Linked DNA regions of Schizosaccharomyces pombe. Changing the gene in region 2 together with the main gene of any one other region gives a genetic interaction. Each region holds a gene or a part of one and is shown on either strand. Other genes may lie near its edges.

Evidence for each region. A genetic interaction does not mean that the proteins touch.
Region 1: of iss10 (region 2) and mei2, changing one enhances a phenotype caused by changing the other (phenotypic enhancement), as found in Schizosaccharomyces pombe (one study listed by BioGRID).

Annotation. Positions count from the first base shown.
Region 1 is NC_003424.3:4,510,477-4,516,597, reverse strand, and holds mei2 (RNA-binding protein Mei2), read left to right. Parts: upstream 1-1,572; 5' UTR 1,573-3,305; coding exon 3,306-5,558; 3' UTR 5,559-5,615; downstream 5,616-6,121. UniProt on the Schizosaccharomyces pombe protein: Crucial for commitment to meiosis but it is not sufficient itself for the commitment. May be a splicing regulator.
Region 2 is NC_003424.3:2,609,068-2,613,538, forward strand, and holds iss10 (protein Iss10), read left to right. Parts: upstream 1-1,958; 5' UTR 1,959-2,032; coding exon 2,033-3,688; 3' UTR 3,689-3,935; downstream 3,936-4,471. Other genes in the region: phosphatidylinositol-3,5-bisphosphate binding protein Atg1802, read right to left, coding at 402-414, 455-1,224, 1,281-1,387, 1,462-1,535, 1,594-1,637; SPOM_SPAC7D4.13C (uncharacterized protein), read left to right, coding at 4,229-4,243, 4,316-4,471.

The sequences.
Region 1 (6,121 bases), 1.9 Mb from region 2:
GTTGGTGATATAAACAACCATAGAGATAGAAGCGGTTTCTCAGGCCTTCATTTTTTTTAAACCTCAAAATTTAACTTTTGAACAATTCGTCACGTACATCAAACATCATAAACGTTTACGAAACGCATTGTCCCAAAAATAGTAAACTGGCTAAGCAATAAAACAAAAAATACACATATGTTTCTTATAAGACCTTTAATAAGAAAGCCAAAAAATATTTACTCAGCAAAGCTTTAATCTAACCATTGTTCACTGACTCTCGCTTTACTGAAGCAACATCGCTAATGATCATTTTACGTTTAAAAAAAAATAGAGTGTATACGAAAGCAAAACAAAACAAACAAAACAGAACAAAACAAAAATAATGTAAACCCAAAGTATAATCAAAAACCATCATCAGCCTTAAAATCTCTTATACATGCATACAAATCTTTTGGAATAGAATAAATATATCGCTTTTACTCTTTTTTTGTTCTGAATTCCCAACCTCTTTTTAATTGCCAAAAGTTATTAATGCTTCCTTCTTACTTGTCTTCGAGCACTTCTACAACCGTGGTACACACATATTTACCGATTTATACGTGATACATTAAAATCGAATGCGGCGTTTACTAATGTTTATAAACAAAAACGTGAGGTTGTCTACATTTACCTTCTCCACTTTTGCGCATAAAGCATTGTTTTCAAATCACTCAATAAATGCGATCTAGTTTGATCGTTGGCTAATTGGATTTCAGTGGGGAATTTTAATTGCCGAACAGCTTTATAGTTTATGTGAAAAGAAAAGAAAGTGAGCAAGTTGCTAATATTAAATGATGTAGTTATCTTTCATGCCAGAGAACAATCTGGATGTCAAACGACCTCTGTGTAAAACGCGCAAATATAGGAGACGCATGCGCTGAATAAGGGTTGAAAGAAGAAACACTGTTAAAAGAGGGTTTTGCATTGGCGAAAAAAGATGTATGGAAAAAAGCACGCGTAAATAACAAAAGAAATCCTTACCGAATTATACAGCAAGGTGGAGATTACTACACTAATGAAGGCAAATAAAAAATGTGATTTCTTTGACTTGTCCATGTTTTTCGGGATGGATACAACGTTGTTTTTTATCTATCATCTTTTTCAAACTTTCAAAAGGACTAACTTACCTTTACAAGCTATACACTAATTACCACTGATTTGAATAAATAGCCTTTTGCTTCAGTAGACAAAGCAAACACCATAAAAGAAAATGCATTTAGCGTTTCTCGCTATTTACTCTATCTAACGCGAGTCGCGTTGGCTTTCAATCTGTCCAAATTGGATCAGTTGTCCCGCTTTTTATGGGATTTTTTTTCCATTATCGTCCTCTTATATTAGAGCTTACTGACATCGCATCATAACTTTAGATAGAGTAACGAAAGCCGACCGATTTCTTTGTTCCTATTTTAAAGTTTCTTTGTTTTACAAACCCTTCTCGAGCTAGCCCCTCAGGGGCATTGCAAAAACGTTCACAGTAAATGCCTAACAGTAAAGGCTACTGAAATTTTCATCGTAGGTCTATAAATTTCGTTGATTCCCTTTGTTTTCAACGCTTTGTTTTCGCCACTGAAAGCTGCTGTTGAGATTCTTTGTTTACTTGGCTTACTTCGTTTCTTTGTTACTCTTCCCACTTTGTGTTACACGGGACAAAGGCAGGGGTAGCATAAACAGTACGTCCCATTCAATCAAGCATTCTCCCAGTAATTGTCGTAATATTTGCGAGCAAATAAAGTCCTTTTTGACTTTGTGATTTCTTTGAAATAACTTCTTTGTTCTCTAATTACTGTATCTCATTATAAAGCATCCAAGCCCTCTCATTATTCCCAACATACAATCCATCCTTCCTCCAGCAATCCGGCCGGACAGATTGTTGTAATTATCTTTACAGAACTATTTTGGGCTGGCTTTTTGATTTGTACTGAAAAGCATCGCATTGCATTGCATCGTTTTTGTTTTGTTTCGCTGCTGCCATTTAGGCTGTCGTATATTTTGTTTGTCTGAAACTTAACGTTCCTTTGTAATAGAGAAAGCAAAAAATATATACCCCATTTTAAAAAAGGAAAGGGAAATTGCTTTTTTTTTTTTTTTTTTTTTTTTTACACCTCTAGTTAGTTGAAAAACCATATGGAAAAAACTTAAGTTTTTATACATCGTGCATTTACTTCTTTTCCATTACTCCATCCTTGCCAATTGTTTCTCTTACCGTTCGCATTTTCCATCTTAATAGGACACACAGCTGCCATCATCCGCGCCAATAAACCTATCGACCGTAACAAAACATTGATACGTTTATTTATCTAATTCATTTCTTTCCTTCTTAAAATCCCCACCCGCATCTTTGTTACCTTTGAACGCAGTTGCTACTTCTCTTTTCTTTGTTTGTTTGTTTATTAATTACTTGTGCCCACTCCGAGACCAACCATCGCTTTCCCATTCCTTGTTGAAAATAGCCCATAGTAGGCATTCGCAAAGAAAGTTCAAATTATATCTTTTACCACATTATCTACATTTTCTGGCTGTATTCTTGAATCCTCATTTTGATCTTTACCAATTTTTCTTGAATCGTTATTGTCATTCCCTGATATCTTTTTCTCTTCTTTGTCCTAGAATCGATTCCTTTCTTCCCCTTTTTTCGTGTGCTTCACTTTTTAATTCCTTTTTTTGCAACCTAACTGATACGTATATATACATTTATATATATACGATTCCAATCCATTTTCTCTTCATATACGCATATACATTTTTTCTTGTATATATGTGTAAAGTTTCTAATCGATTATTTTAAATTTTTACTTGCGCTTTTCTTCTGTGGTGACAATATCCCATCTTTTTCTTTTTTTTTTAAAAAAATTAAAGGGTAGTTTCCTAGTTTTATCCCGAAAATTTCTCCTCCTCTAACGTTTGTTATTCTTTTGTTAATTTTATGAAAGACAAGTTTGTTTGTTCAAATCTTGGTTGTTATTCTTTTCGTTTGATTATATACATTTGAACGACAATTGTGATTTATTGTTGATTTTTTCTTTTCATTTCATTATTCTTTTGTTCTTTTGCATTTTCTCATCGTTTGTTTGATTTACTAACAACCATCTAACCCCTTCCTTTCTTTTCAACTTTCTGGTCTTTTAAAGTTTGTATTAACTTAATCCTTTGCAGTTCCTTTCTCTCCCTTTCTTACCACTTCTAAACAAAGTTTTATAAGTTATTAGTCATTAAGTAATTTTTTTTACTCTTTATCTATTTTAAGGATTATCGGCCAGCTTTATTGTTGCCGTTTTAACACATAAATGATTATGGAAACCGAATCACCTTTATCAATCACCTCCCCTTCTCCATCTGATTCAACTTTTCAAGTTGATATGGAGAAAACAATGCATGCTTTGCCCTCAAGTCTTCTTGACTCACCATTACTCTCTACTAACGAGCATTACCCTCCCAAGAGTACTTTACTTTTGAGTGGTCCTTCACCCATCAGAAATATTCAACTATCTGCTACCAAATCTAGTGAATCAAACTCAATTGATTATCTTACGGATACTCAAAATATCTTCCCCAACTTTGTTAATAACGAAAACAACTATCAGTTTTCAACCGCTCCTTTAAATCCTATTGATGCTTGTCGAGTTGGTGAACGGAAAGTATTCACTACAGGTAATGTTTTATTGTCAGCTGATCGACAACCTCTTAGTACATGGCAACAAAACATTTCTGTTCTCTCAGAATCCCCTCCGCAAAATGGCATTCAAAGTTACATTTCAAGTTCTGAGCAAGCAGCTCAGGCACTAACTCGTAAACCATCTGTTACCGGATTTCGTTCTTCCTCGCTTAACTCTAATTCTGACGATATAGATATATTTTCTCATGCTTCTCGTTACTTGTTCGTTACTAACCTTCCTCGTATTGTTCCTTATGCTACTTTATTGGAGCTTTTTTCAAAACTTGGAGATGTGAAAGGAATTGATACATCTTCATTGTCTACGGATGGTATATGCATTGTTGCTTTTTTCGATATTAGGCAAGCAATACAGGCCGCTAAATCACTGCGATCTCAGAGATTTTTTAATGATAGATTACTGTATTTCCAATTCTGCCAAAGAAGCAGCATTCAAAAAATGATTAATCAAGGTGCTACTATTCAATTCCTTGACGATAATGAAGGTCAACTTCTCTTAAATATGCAGGGAGGTTCTGTTCTGAGCATCCTTCAACTGCAATCTATACTTCAGACGTTCGGTCCACTTCTTATTATGAAGCCTTTAAGAAGTCAAAATGTTTCACAAATTATTTGCGAATTCTATGATACAAGAGATGCATCTTTTGCATTAGATGAATTGGATGGAAGAATTATTCATAATTGCTGCCTTCAAGTCGCTTATTACGATGCAATGGCTGATTCAGTTAGCACCTCTTCGGCCTCTAGCCTCTCTGTTCCAAGAGGATTTAGTGGGATGTTAAATAACAATTCTGAATGGAACAACTCTATGACAATGTCTTCTAACCAAGAAACTCCCACTGCTGCTAGTTGTGCTGTTTCAAGAATTGGTTCGAGTTATGGAATGTCGAATAACTTTGGATCCGTTCCCTTAGGACGCACTGAATCATCTCCAGCTTGGGGAACAAGCGGATATTACGATGTCTCTTCAACTAGCCCTGTTGCTCCCAGTGATCGAAATCCTTCCAGGCAGTATAATTCGATAAGGTATGGTTTAGATGTAAATCCTATTGCACCGCCAAATTCCTCACGTCTTAAGCAAAGGAATAGTGATTTACTGAACGGAATTAATCCACAATGGTCACCTTTTTCCTCTAATACTGGTAAAGTCTTTGATTCACCAACAGGTTCTCTTGGTATGAGGAGAAGTTTAACTGTTGGTGCAAATGCATCATGTAGTAATCCTACAAATTTAAGTTTTGCCTCACTTACTCTACACGACTCAAAAGCAGATTCTACACTATCTGCTTCTTCTCTGAATCCGGACTTGAATCTCCAAAGATATACTCCTACTGTTGAAAAACATGCTTCAGATAGAAATTCTGTCGATTATGCACAAATTGCGTCTGGAATTGACACAAGAACCACGGTAATGATAAAAAATATCCCGAATAAATTTACCCAGCAAATGCTAAGGGATTACATTGATGTTACCAACAAGGGTACCTATGATTTTCTTTATTTACGGATAGATTTTGTTAATAAATGCAATGTAGGATATGCGTTTATAAACTTTATTGAACCTCAATCTATCATTACCTTTGGCAAAGCTAGAGTGGGTACTCAATGGAACGTCTTTCACTCTGAAAAAATATGCGATATCAGCTATGCTAATATTCAAGGCAAAGACAGGCTGATTGAAAAATTCCGAAACTCGTGTGTTATGGACGAGAACCCTGCTTACCGCCCGAAAATATTTGTAAGCCATGGACCTAATAGAGGAATGGAAGAGCCTTTCCCTGCTCCCAATAATGCACGTCGTAAACTAAGATCTATTGCTAGTGCCCAACAAATAGGCTTGTTTCCTCCAACTGCAAGCAAATGTTGATTACGAAAGAGATCCTGTATTGTTTATGTTTACCTATCGCTTTGCTTACCCTTTCTTTTCTATATTTTATTTTTGTTCAATTCCAAAGTATATTATGATTGCTCCAAAAACTTCGGATGTTTTACAAATTGCAAGAATTTGCCTGCTTGTGTAAATTATATTCACTTCAAATATATGATGTTAATTTATGTTTCCAAATGGGAACGTTTTACGAAAGTATACTTATTCGATTTAATTATTAATAATGATTGATCATTTTTTGTATACGAATTTTTATGCCATAAGTTTATTATGATCAATGACGGCTCAATGCTAAATTTATGATTGCCTCAAATTTTATGTGACAAAGATCTAGTTATAGTGAACGTGCTAAAATTAACTTGTATTTTGACAAGATGGTCAACTTCACTCTGAGTATCGATATGTTTTATTCAAAATACATACTCTTACTTGAGACCTGTTTAATAAATGCCACATTGAAAAAAATGTTTAATTTTATAATTTATGCAAATAACGAGTTAAGGACAATTAAATTCCCCTTAACACAACTATTTAATCAGATA
Region 2 (4,471 bases):
AATAGCTGGAATTTTTCATGGTTGGATTTTAGCGTTGTCAACGTGCCGCTAAAAATTTACTTTAATTTTATGGGTTTCTAATAGAATGTTGTTATCTTCGAATTTTTAATTCTCCTGTTTCGGTACAAATATTGAATTTATGGAATGCATATAAAATTTATATAGGATATATGATGCACTTGTAAGGTGTCTACCGTAATGATAATTTTTCACATCTGTACCGGTGTATAATATATTAGTGAAACACCAACTTATCGACATTAACATTTTAATAAATTATCTACAAAGGTCTAAACATAAATGATAGCATGTTCAGTAAATAAAAAAAAAACATAAGACCATGAAAGCTAAAACATTGTGAAGCTGATGTATGAGTAAATTTAAAACTTGTGCGCAAAAAGTTAATCGTCAAAGCTAGATATGTTAATAATCGAAAATTTAACAAACAGCTTACATGTAACGCTCAAGTAAAGCACAATTTCCTCCATTTTTAAGATTTACTGCGAACCGATAATAGTGTCCTGAATAAGAAGCTACTTGTATGTGCGGACCGCTGCTCGAAAAAATTATTTTTCCATAGAAAGAAGCTTCAGGAATCTTAGCAGTTGCAAATTCTTTCCTAGTGTCCCAAACTTTTGCTACATTTGAAGTTAAATATTTTGACCAAGAAGATGACACAGTTACGGAAGATGTAGGAGACGAATTCGGATCCGATGGTTGCTTAGAGATTTTGAAAACGTGAATAGTACCATTTTCAGAAGCACAAGCCAGAAAAGGCTCAACTGGGTGAAATGAGATAGATACAATGGATGCAGGTATATATCCCCTGCGCAATTCTGTCACCAATTCACCATCACTAGTTGTTATAACACGGATTACAGTTCCCTTTGCGGATGCAGTCGCAATCAAATGTCCACGCGGATGAAAGTCAACTACTTGGACAGCGGAAGAATGGCAATGAATCAATGTGACGGGTATTGCAGTATCCAATGAGGCTAAATAAATATCACCAGGGTTGGTCGGTGAATTATATGCAACATAATTCTCATGAACAGCAAAAGCTATAACATTTCCTTTCGAGGTATTTAGAGTATTAATTAATTCCATGTTTTTTAGATTATATACGTAAATACTCCCTTTAATTAAAACAACTAAACGATTCCATGTGAAACGTACACTTAGCACAGGACTCGGATAAAATATTCGGCATAAAACGATATCTCTCTAAAAATATGGGTTAAAATTAAGAAATCAATGCAGAATCTCAGTTAACTAATTACCTTGATGTCAACCAATTTTAGTAACCTCGTCGACTCAGGGGAAATATTCACGAAAGCAAGTAGAGAAGATTCATAAAGCATTTCACAAATACTTGCCCCATTGGCTTCTACAATCAGTAAGTTATAAGTCGTGTAAGATGGGCTTGTGTTTCCACTTCTCGGAAATTCATTGACAGCTTACTTTTTGAAAAGCACAGGGTAAACGGATTGGAGCGATAAACTTGATAGCCATTCTCAGAACCAATTGATAAAAAGCTAAATTTAGCAGTCAGTACAAAGATTGCACAAAATCTATTTTATGTGTGCCACTTACCCACGATCTTGATTCCACGAACAGTAAAGGATAATCGATGGCATTTCTCTTAAATCGACTGTTAATTTATTTAGTAGTTCACATTCACCCCTGTCTTAATACAATTGCTGATCACGTTCAATGGTAAAAGTAAAACAGATTTGTGCTAAGGCAGTGTGCGTAATTGAAGCAAAAAATAATGTGATTCGTACAATGCAAAAGCTTAACTTTGTAGTATCCAGAATATAAAAGAACCCATTTGAGCCTTTAGCAATTTTGATTAATGAATGTTTTTGTTATGTTTGTATTATGCAAGATAATATATACAGTGGTGCAGCGCTCCTTAATGGTCACCTCTACGCACATTCAAGAGCGTATATCTTGGCAACATCCAAATGTTGAATAAAACTTTTTTTGGGAATTCATGAATTTTTATTGTTTTGGTTAAATTTAAATATTAATGGATGCCGTTGAACCTTCTGTGGAGAAGGAATACAAAAAAATAATTTCTTTTAGAGATACTGTGTTTGAAGGGAAACATCAACAATTTTTGGTTCCGAACAATGTTCGTTTAAAATTTTTAAGAGATAGATTACATAAATCTTTAAAAAATTTTGATTCTGTTAAACGGAAAGTCGAAATTGCAAATGATGAAGGTAATAACAAACTCCTGAAATCATCACCCAAAGCACAAACCAGAGATGAAAATACTCCTTCTGAATTTAAGAATGGAGGTTTTAGTAACAGAGAATCTATGTCCGAAAACTGTTTTTCTAAATCATCTACTAATTTACCACGGCTAGACATTAACCGTGATTTTAATTCCTTACTTAATAGTCAAACAAAACCTGAAGCCACTGGTTTGATGAAAGAGGATATTACTCCCGTTGTAAACACTAGCAAACAATCTTCTACTGGGACTCAAGAGGAGTCCTCAAAACCGGAAAAATCTAATAAATTGTTAGCAAAGAGTACTTTATCTTTGTATGGGAATCAAGCTTTTAATCCTTCTTCAGTTCTTCCTAGCAATTCTTCATCAACGCCTAAGGAAAATAAAAAAAATGTGAATAAAGAGACATATCAACCGAACACTTTTCGCCGTAGTCCGTTGAAAAATGATACTGGATCAGTGGAGTTATCAAACCTGTATATGCCGTCTCCACCATCATCTGCGCTTCCCGTATCGCTTGTGTCAGCTCCTTCTCCTCCGAGGGCAACTAACGTTGCAGTCCCGTGTCTTAAACATTTGGAATCGAGTGAGCAGGGCAATAACCTACTTATTAACAAAGCTTTTACTTCTCCTCGCCTTCCTTCACCTCCCCAGTCAACAAGACCTAGCTCTACTAGGTTTCCTTCGGTTCCTTTATCAGATGAAAAAAACTCAATTGTCTCCGTAAAAAACGAAGAGCCGTCTGTCATTCTGGGAAATCAATCACCAATTTCGGATTTGCATCCGTATTCTCCATCTTGGATCCCCTATCCAAAGGAATTGCAATCGCTACAAGTCAATCGAATACCTGAGTTGTCCTTGGAGAACAATGTCATGTCAACTCGGGATTATAAGGATATAATGCCTCACCCTCGTCCTTCTGCTGTCCTTTTAGATAAACCGGTTTCTTTAGATCAAACTTCTCATCCTTTCCCTCATCAAAATACTTATATTCTACCTCCGGGGATAAGGAATTCTGTAGACTATGACGGCACTTTTCTTTCCCGTAAATCGCTTCCTCCTTATAATGGCATTCATCGTCTTCATGAGAGCCCTTCTCAGTTTTCAAATCAATCAAGATATAATTGGGAGCCAATTTTAGAAAATCGCTCCCTGCTCCATTTGAATCGTCCGCCTCCTATTGAAACGCACTATTCATACGAATCTAACAATTCATCGTTTTCTCCGTATTACCATAAACGGCATAGACAGATTTCTCCATACTACCCCACTTCCTCAGTTTATGGAGTTTATGAAAGTCCGCCTCACATGTCTGATTCTCGTATTTCTCGGCAGCATATGCCTTTAACGCATACTACTTATGAGCCTTCTGCGCCTTATTATAACGACTATGAATTAGCAGAGGAAATTGAGAGGCGTCGTCATCATAGCTTTTATGATTATTAGCTATACTCTTCCGTAAGTGCGCGCAACAATTTAAAAATTGCTTGGCGGAATATTTGAATTTGCATGTTTTTGTTTTAACTTATAAAGAAAATTAAGTACCTTTAGTACTGGTAATGTTTGATGTACATTTATTATAGTAGATAGAATATTCATGTTGCATAAATTGGTTTCGCACTTTCAGTTAACATTTTCAAATTCATTTATACATAAATACTTTTTTAGATGATTAATAAGAGGCGTTTCATAAATAGTATAAGTACTTTGTAAGCCTATTCTAATGGATGTGAATAAACAAAGAGACTATGGATTATGTGAATAGTTATATTACTTTCTTATTCGATAATCAAATTTTAAAGCTCCCAAATGCAAGATTATTGAAGAAATTTTGAAAAAGTTTCTTTAGTTAACATTAGCATGTAAAAGACACATAAACCCTAATTGACTGTAACATAAGAGACCTTTTACTTACGTCTACAGCGATTATTCTACTGGACTTAATAAAAGCAAAATTCGGACGGTCGAAACAACTCATTTAGACGTATGAGTCTATTTATTGTAGGTTAGCTTTTTGAATGAATATTACATATCATTATTTTTCTCTTTCTTTCTCTAACTACTAAAACCTAGGGTACTCATAACATCAAAAACTCAGCAATACAACTTTTAAAGACGAAACTGAAAAATGAATTTTTAAAGGGCGTTAAATGTATTACTAAATATCCCGAAAATGCACATAGCATTTTTAAAGTTCAAGAATATACTGGATACAAGGGAGTGACCTTT